Saccharomyces cerevisiae S288C: one gene and its partner. The gene in region 2 interacts genetically with the main gene of each other region. Each region holds a gene or a part of one and is shown on either strand. Other genes may lie near its edges.

The links. A genetic interaction does not mean that the proteins touch.
Region 1: of KAR4 (region 2) and RME1, changing one suppresses a phenotype caused by changing the other (phenotypic suppression), as found in Saccharomyces cerevisiae (one study listed by BioGRID).

The regions. Positions count from the first base shown.
Region 1 is NC_001139.9:582,490-586,204, forward strand, and holds RME1 (Rme1p), read right to left. Parts: upstream 1,404-3,715; coding exon 501-1,403; downstream 1-500. Other genes in the region: YGR045C (uncharacterized protein), read right to left, coding at 1,445-1,807; TAM41 (putative phosphatidate cytidylyltransferase), read left to right, coding at 2,406-3,563. UniProt on the Saccharomyces cerevisiae protein: Involved in the control of meiosis. Represses the transcription of the IME1 gene thereby inhibiting cells from entering meiosis. But also activates the CLN2 gene thus promoting mitosis.
Region 2 is NC_001135.5:25,159-29,444, forward strand, and holds KAR4 (Kar4p), read left to right. Parts: upstream 1-2,770; coding exon 2,771-3,778; downstream 3,779-4,286. Other genes in the region: PRD1 (metalloendopeptidase), read left to right, coding at 1-1,748; PEX34 (Pex34p), read right to left, coding at 1,767-2,201. UniProt on the Saccharomyces cerevisiae protein: Component of the MIS complex, a complex that mediates N6-methyladenosine (m6A) methylation of meiotic mRNAs and is required for initiation of meiosis, progression through the meiotic divisions and sporulation.

The sequences.
Region 1 (3,715 bases), on a different chromosome or scaffold from region 2:
GCGCTAATATCCTACTTAAGTGGTTGAATTCTTGTATGATTAAAAAAAAAAAAAAAAACACCTGTCTTATTTTCAATTTTATGGTACTGACTTTGAGGGTACGTGAATCATCGAAGGAAACATAATTGCACTGATATGTAAACTTCCTAGTTTCAAATGTTTTCTCGGAATACCAAATAACCTCTAGCCATAAGTTTATTTTCAAACTTTTTCCTCTTAGGTGATAAGGGAGATTAGAAAAAAAGAAATATTTATTATTGAAATAACTGTCCAAAGAAGCAAAGTGAATATAGAAGAAAAAATGCGAGTACTTACGATTTTTTATTTAGCTAAGTAACCAACGTGGTGCCATATTCACGACATAGCAAGTGTCCATAGTTGCATGCGTTTTCTTTAATATCATTGTGTTTTATTTTTATTACTTTAAGAAAAAATACAGTAGCTTTCATGCCTGCACAAATTTAACAAGAGTTTCATGGGGTACATTTTTAATGCCTCAACTATTTGGTATTGTTCAAAATTTTCTTCAAACGCTTGTTAAATCTTGAATCAGCGTTGTTATGCACCATGGCCACATGTCTCTTATAGGCGTCTTTGCGCCTAAACGTTTTCTGACAGATAGGAAATGGGCAATTCAGTCCTGGATATTTTTCTACTTTTAGATTTAATGATTTCTCCATCTCTATATCAAGCTCTCCTATATGTTGGGAAGCACAATGTCTTCTCAGACCAGTTGCTTGTTGGAAACCCAATATTTTCCAGGGACATTGCTCTATGGGACACTTACACGGTCTTTCAAGGTTGAATTCGTCTAAGTGCGCGGCAAACTCAACTAACGTTGCGAACTTTTCAGAACAATGAGAACAGTGGTAACTTCCTCTTTTTGTTTGCCCTTCGGAAATTGTGCTGAGTACTTTGGGGTCGTGATATAGCTGTGCCACGTGCGATTTTTGGGGATAGCCTAGAATACACTGTGAATGGGATTGTTCTGTTGTATTGCTCTCAATAAATACAGGATTTGCTCCTTTTTGACGTCCATAATTAATAAGATCTCTGAACTCCGGATCAACTAATGACGTGATACAGTGTGTACTGTCCGCTATTTCATCCGGCCGTAATTGAGGTGCTGTACCTTCCTCAGTAGACGACGTAGAGTCATAAGCCTGTCTCTGATTTCCGGCTATAACTGTGATTGTGTTTTCTAATGATAGTAGTAAACAGTCCTCAGTGCTGGAAGGCAGGCTGGAAGGCAGGCTGGAATCCCCCTCTAAGGGTGATGCCGAATATTCTTTCATGTTTTGCCCGAAATCGTGCCAATGATAAATCGGTTGCACCTCTTGTAAAACCTCTCTGTTCCAAGACCCCTTGGCGATGGCACTGTTTTGTCCATAACACGGTGACATAAGTGCTGAAAATCCCAACTTCTAGTAAAGAATTAACAAATTCAACTGTATGACTTATAGGATAAGAACAATGTCAGTTCCAATGCGTTGACACAGTAGAAAATATATTTACTAAGAAGCAGCTTCGTCGTTGGTATAGTTTCGGTTGATCTAGATATAAATATAACTACAAATAAATGGCAGGAAAAATTGAAGCAAATGACACAGGACATATCTATCACATTGCTCCCTTTAATTTCCTCGAAGGCACTCTGGCCTTTGTTCTCTGCATAAGAAAAAGCCAGCAGAAAATACGGTGATATATTTAATACATGCCCGGCCACTTTTCTGCTGGTAAAGCCCACCGGAAAAGTTCGGATTTTCTTATCCAGTATACGCCGACCTTTTGATGTAATCTGTGACATCTCACTCCGGCGGCCATTTTACGTGACGAAGCATCCCTTACAACAGAAAGAAGAAAAAAGATATGCCGCTTTGCGGTTTCTTTCTGGCAATGTATGCACTCATAATGCTACTCGTTTACCCACTATCCCTGTCCAAACTAAAGAGGGAGGAAAGCACTTTTTGCATTTACACATCGTAGATTATAAAATGATCGTTAACAGGCGCTTGTGATTTTGAATTTAAGAAATGTGGACTAGAGAAGTCTTAAATCGCCAATGCTGTACCAGACTCTCTATAGCATCTAAACACGAAATTCAACTGTTATCTTAGTTTTTCACTTACCAGTAGCGCGCTTGTTATTCCCACGTTATTATTTGCCCCCACATCATAGGTCAAGTGACCTTCTCTTACCCGACATGAATAAAGAAAAGAAAAGAAATCATACCCTTCAGCCTGTTTAGCCATAAATAGTAAAGAGTAGATGTTTCGACGGACTAAATAATGTGAAAAAGGTTCTAAAACCTTCAAAACAATTAAACTTGAGAAACGTTGCTATAGGATTGAGCTAATAATTTGAATTAATAGGAGCTGCTTTTTACTTTGATATATCCTGAAGTTATGTTACGAGTTTCTGAAAATGGTCTACGGTTTCTGCTGAAATGCCATTCAACGAACGTAAGCATGTTTAATAGGCTTCTGAGTACTCAAATAAAGGAGGGGAGAAGTTCCATAGATGATGCTGGCATTATCCCCGATGGAACTATTAACGAAAGGCCGAATCACTACATCGAGGGAATTACTAAAGGCAGTGATCTGGACCTCTTGGAAAAAGGTATAAGAAAAACTGACGAAATGACTTCCAATTTTACAAATTATATGTACAAGTTTCACAGATTGCCCCCCAACTATGGAAGTAACCAGCTCATTACTATCGATAAGGAACTTCAAAAGGAACTGGATGGGGTAATGTCATCCTTCAAAGCTCCGTGCCGGTTTGTATTTGGTTACGGCTCAGGAGTTTTCGAACAAGCGGGATATTCCAAAAGTCATAGCAAACCTCAAATCGATATAATCTTGGGCGTCACATATCCATCACATTTTCACTCTATTAATATGAGGCAGAATCCGCAACATTATTCAAGTTTGAAATACTTCGGTTCCGAGTTCGTGTCTAAATTTCAACAGATCGGCGCAGGCGTATATTTTAATCCATTTGCAAATATAAATGGACACGACGTAAAATATGGGGTGGTTTCTATGGAAACACTTTTAAAGGACATAGCTACTTGGAATACATTCTATTTAGCAGGACGACTACAAAAGCCTGTAAAAATATTGAAGAATGATTTGAGAGTGCAATATTGGAACCAATTAAACTTAAAAGCTGCAGCTACTTTGGCCAAACATTACACCTTAGAGAAAAATAACAATAAGTTTGACGAATTCCAATTTTACAAGGAGATCACTGCCTTAAGTTATGCAGGTGATATTAGATACAAACTGGGTGGAGAAAATCCCGACAAAGTTAACAACATTGTTACCAAAAACTTTGAAAGATTTCAAGAGTATTACAAGCCGATTTACAAAGAAGTGGTCCTAAATGATTCATTTTATCTTCCAAAAGGGTTCACATTAAAGAATACTCAGAGACTTTTGCTCAGCCGTATTAGTAAATCAAGTGCATTACAAACTATTAAAGGTGTTTTCACAGCTGGAATCACAAAGTCAATTAAGTATGCTTGGGCCAAAAAACTAAAATCGATGAGGAGAAGCTAGTGTATCCAATGTTATCTACACATTATCTTTTATCAAAAATGTTTTATCGTCCTTTCATCTCTTTCGAAGAATCGCTCTATTCACATTCCAAATCTCTGGCGTCGGTCAATATTTATTCATCTTTATTTTTACCTTCTTCTAGATAATATACA
Region 2 (4,286 bases):
ACGACATCTTTTTGCAATTCGCCCGCGTCTGGCAGGATGTTCAATCGAAGGCAGATTCTGTGGAAAGAGAAACTTTCAAATACGTTGAGAAGTCTTACAAGGACTACATTCATTCTGGTTTGGAACTTGACGAGGGAAACCGATTGAAAATCAAAGAGATCAAAAAGAAGATCTCCGTTAACTCTATTAATTTTTCGAAGAATCTGGGAGAACAAAAGGAATACATCACTTTCACCAAAGAACAATTGGAAGGTGTGCCGGATTCTATTTTGACGCAGTTCGAGACAATAAAATCTGACAAAGATAGCAATGAAACCTTGTATAAAGTCACCTTCAAATATCCGGACATTTTTCCCGTGATGAAATTGGCATCCTCAGCTCAGACTAGAAAGCAGGCCTTTTTGGCCGACCAAAATAAGGTCCCTGAAAATGAAGCTATACTGTTGGATACATTGAAGCTGCGTGACGAATTGGCCTCGTTATTGGGCTATGACACGTATGCGAACTACAACCTGTATGATAAAATGGCTGAAGATAGCACTACGGTAATGAACTTTTTGAATGATTTGAAGGACAAGCTAATTCCGCTGGGCAGAAAGGAACTACAGGTCTTGCAAGATATGAAAGCCGAAGATGTTAAGAAACTTAACCAGGGTGCAGATCCAAACTACTACATTTGGGACCACCGTTACTACGATAACAAATATTTGTTAGAAAACTTCAATGTGGACCTAGAAAAGATTTCTGAATATTTTCCACTAGAGGCTACGATTACTGGTATGCTGGAAATATACGAAACATTGTTTAATTTGAAGTTTATCGAGACGAAAGATTCTCAAAACAAATCTGTTTGGCATGACGACGTCAAACAAATCGCCGTTTGGAATATGGATGATCCAAAGTCTCCAAACTTTGTTGGTTGGATTTATTTCGATTTACATCCTCGTGATGGTAAATATGGCCACGCTGCCAATTTTGGTTTATCGTCATCATTCATGATTGATGACACCACAAGATCGTATCCGGTTACTGCGTTGGTTTGCAATTTCTCCAAATCTACGAAGGATAAACCTTCTCTACTGAAGCATAACGAAATAGTGACCTTTTTCCATGAATTGGGCCATGGTATCCATGACCTGGTGGGACAAAACAAGGAATCGAGGTTTAATGGCCCCGGATCTGTTCCATGGGATTTTGTGGAGGCACCTTCCCAAATGTTAGAATTTTGGACTTGGAATAAGAATGAATTAATCAACCTCTCATCACATTACAAAACGGGCGAAAAAATTCCAGAATCTTTGATCAATTCATTGATCAAAACTAAACACGTAAATGGTGCTTTATTCACTCTAAGACAATTACATTTTGGGTTATTTGATATGAAAGTACATACTTGTAAAGACTTGCAAAACCTGTCAATTTGCGATACCTGGAACCAATTGAGACAGGATATTTCTTTGATTTCTAATGGTGGTACGTTATCCAAGGGTTATGATTCATTTGGCCATATAATGTCAGACTCTTACTCTGCCGGTTATTACGGTTATCTATGGGCGGAAGTCTTTGCAACTGATATGTATCACACCAAATTCGCTAAGGATCCGTTAAATGCCAAGAATGGGATACAATACCGTGATATTGTGTTGGCTCGTGGTGGCCTTTATGATATTAATGATAATCTGAAAGAATTTTTGGGTAGGGAACCTTCTAAGGATGCTTTCTTGAAGGAGCTGGGCTTACAGAACTAAATTCGTTCAAGCATAAAATTATACAATTATTCTACAAAGTGTTATTATGTTAGATAATCTTTTAAATAACCTCGTCCCTGGATAGATTAAAACCATTAAATAGCTCAAATCTTGGAGTAAAGCAGCAGTAATATGTCTGATATGTTCGTTATATTTTTTCTTGAAGTTTATCAACTTATCCTTTACTAGACCATTTCCCTCCCCATCCAATCGTTGATCGATTTTAAATTTCACCTTGCATAATTTTATTAATTTCCATACACATTTTATCACTGAAATGCACGAGTAACACAGCCAAACTTTCCGTAATAGCCCACTTACATATAACTTATCGTTGACCACGCCTAGGTTTTCCAATACTGCGAAGAAATCAAGCAGCGAACTTACACCACTCCATATATTCTCCCATATATCTTTTGCACTGATTTCAGCCGTATTTTTCTTCGAAACCATTCAACTTTCTTTTCTTCTTCCTTTACTTTTATTCATCTCCTCTTTACTTCTTACCTCAGAGTCGAACATTGAAATCATTTCCCGCGAATTTTTCGATTATAATTACCCTTTCTACTTAACAAGAAGCAATAAGAGCAAAGGGGCGAAATGCTTGTCCCATACTTTGGCTTTTGGATGTGACATTAGGAGCCTTATCTCCTCTTAATGCCTTAAGTCAAAAAATAGTTTTTGGGATATATCTTGTGATCAAATGCTTTGCAAAAGGGTAAAACAGCGTTTACAATAGGATAGCCAAAAGTAAAAAAAAAAAAAAAAAAAAAAAGAAGGAAGTTAGTATCGAGCTCAAACAATTTTAGTTTTGCTGGACATATTTTCAGTTTCATTACTGTATATTTGCAGCTTGGTTTTTGTCGCTCTGTAGTCTTGTTTCACACTTCGTCATTTCCGAGTTTCATCTTGCGACATAACTTGTTTCAACTTTTCAAGTGCGACTTTTTGTTAAATATTATGACATAGAAGAAAGTAGAACAGCCATTATAAAACAAAAGAGAAGTGAGAATACTATTAAGATGGCATTCCAAGATCCAACTTACGACCAGAATAAAAGCAGACACATCAACAACAGTCACTTGCAAGGGCCAAACCAGGAAACAATAGAAATGAAATCTAAACACGTATCATTCAAACCCTCTAGAGACTTCCATACAAACGATTACTCGAATAACTACATTCATGGGAAGTCGCTACCGCAACAGCATGTTACTAATATTGAGAATAGGGTTGATGGCTATCCAAAACTTCAGAAATTATTTCAGGCGAAAGCTAAACAAATAAATCAATTTGCCACTACGCCATTTGGGTGTAAAATCGGAATAGATTCCATTGTTCCAACGTTGAATCACTGGATACAGAACGAAAATTTGACTTTCGACGTGGTGATGATTGGCTGCTTAACAGAAAATCAGTTTATTTACCCAATTTTAACCCAATTGCCATTGGATAGATTGATCTCCAAACCAGGTTTCCTGTTCATCTGGGCCAATTCTCAAAAAATCAATGAACTTACTAAACTTTTGAATAATGAAATATGGGCTAAAAAGTTTAGAAGAAGTGAAGAATTGGTTTTTGTTCCTATTGACAAGAAATCACCGTTTTATCCAGGTTTAGATCAGGACGATGAAACGTTGATGGAAAAAATGCAATGGCACTGTTGGATGTGTATCACAGGTACAGTAAGGAGGTCTACAGATGGACATCTTATTCATTGTAACGTAGACACTGACTTGAGTATCGAAACGAAGGACACCACTAATGGTGCTGTACCATCCCATTTGTATCGTATTGCAGAAAACTTCTCTACCGCGACTAGACGATTACATATTATTCCTGCAAGGACTGGTTACGAGACACCCGTCAAAGTAAGACCTGGCTGGGTTATAGTGAGCCCAGATGTTATGTTGGATAACTTCTCACCCAAGAGATATAAAGAAGAGATAGCTAATTTAGGTTCGAATATCCCATTAAAAAATGAGATTGAGCTGTTAAGACCAAGAAGTCCAGTACAAAAAGCACAATAAAGCATCAACACATAAATCCTTGCTTAGCTCAATTAAATATACTAGTAAATAAGTATATAAACAATAATTTTGCATTTTATTTTACTGGAAACTCTTCTCAAAACCAAATTGCGCAAGGATTGATTCAGTACAATTATGCAAACTCGAAAAGTAAATAAACAAAAAGATACAGTTGAGTGAAAGGTAAATAAACATTATTCTACTTGATTTTCCTCTGTTTTTTCCATTTTTCTTTTTTGTCTTTTCGTGTTCTAGCGTGTTCACTTTTTCAGCCATGTAATTACTTAAATAGGAAGTTTACACGATGTTCTCGCATAAAAAGCTGGAAGTGCAGAACAAAGAGGAAGAAAATAGGAACAGAGAATTTGTTTGTTTATTTGTTTGTTTGCTTGTTTGTTTGTTTGTTTTGATTTGAAGTCGAGGTACTTATTCGAAATAATTATTTTGCCCAGGGTTTTGGATAGTTTTTTGTTTTCCAATTAGATTTTTAGAAATATTTTATCATAGT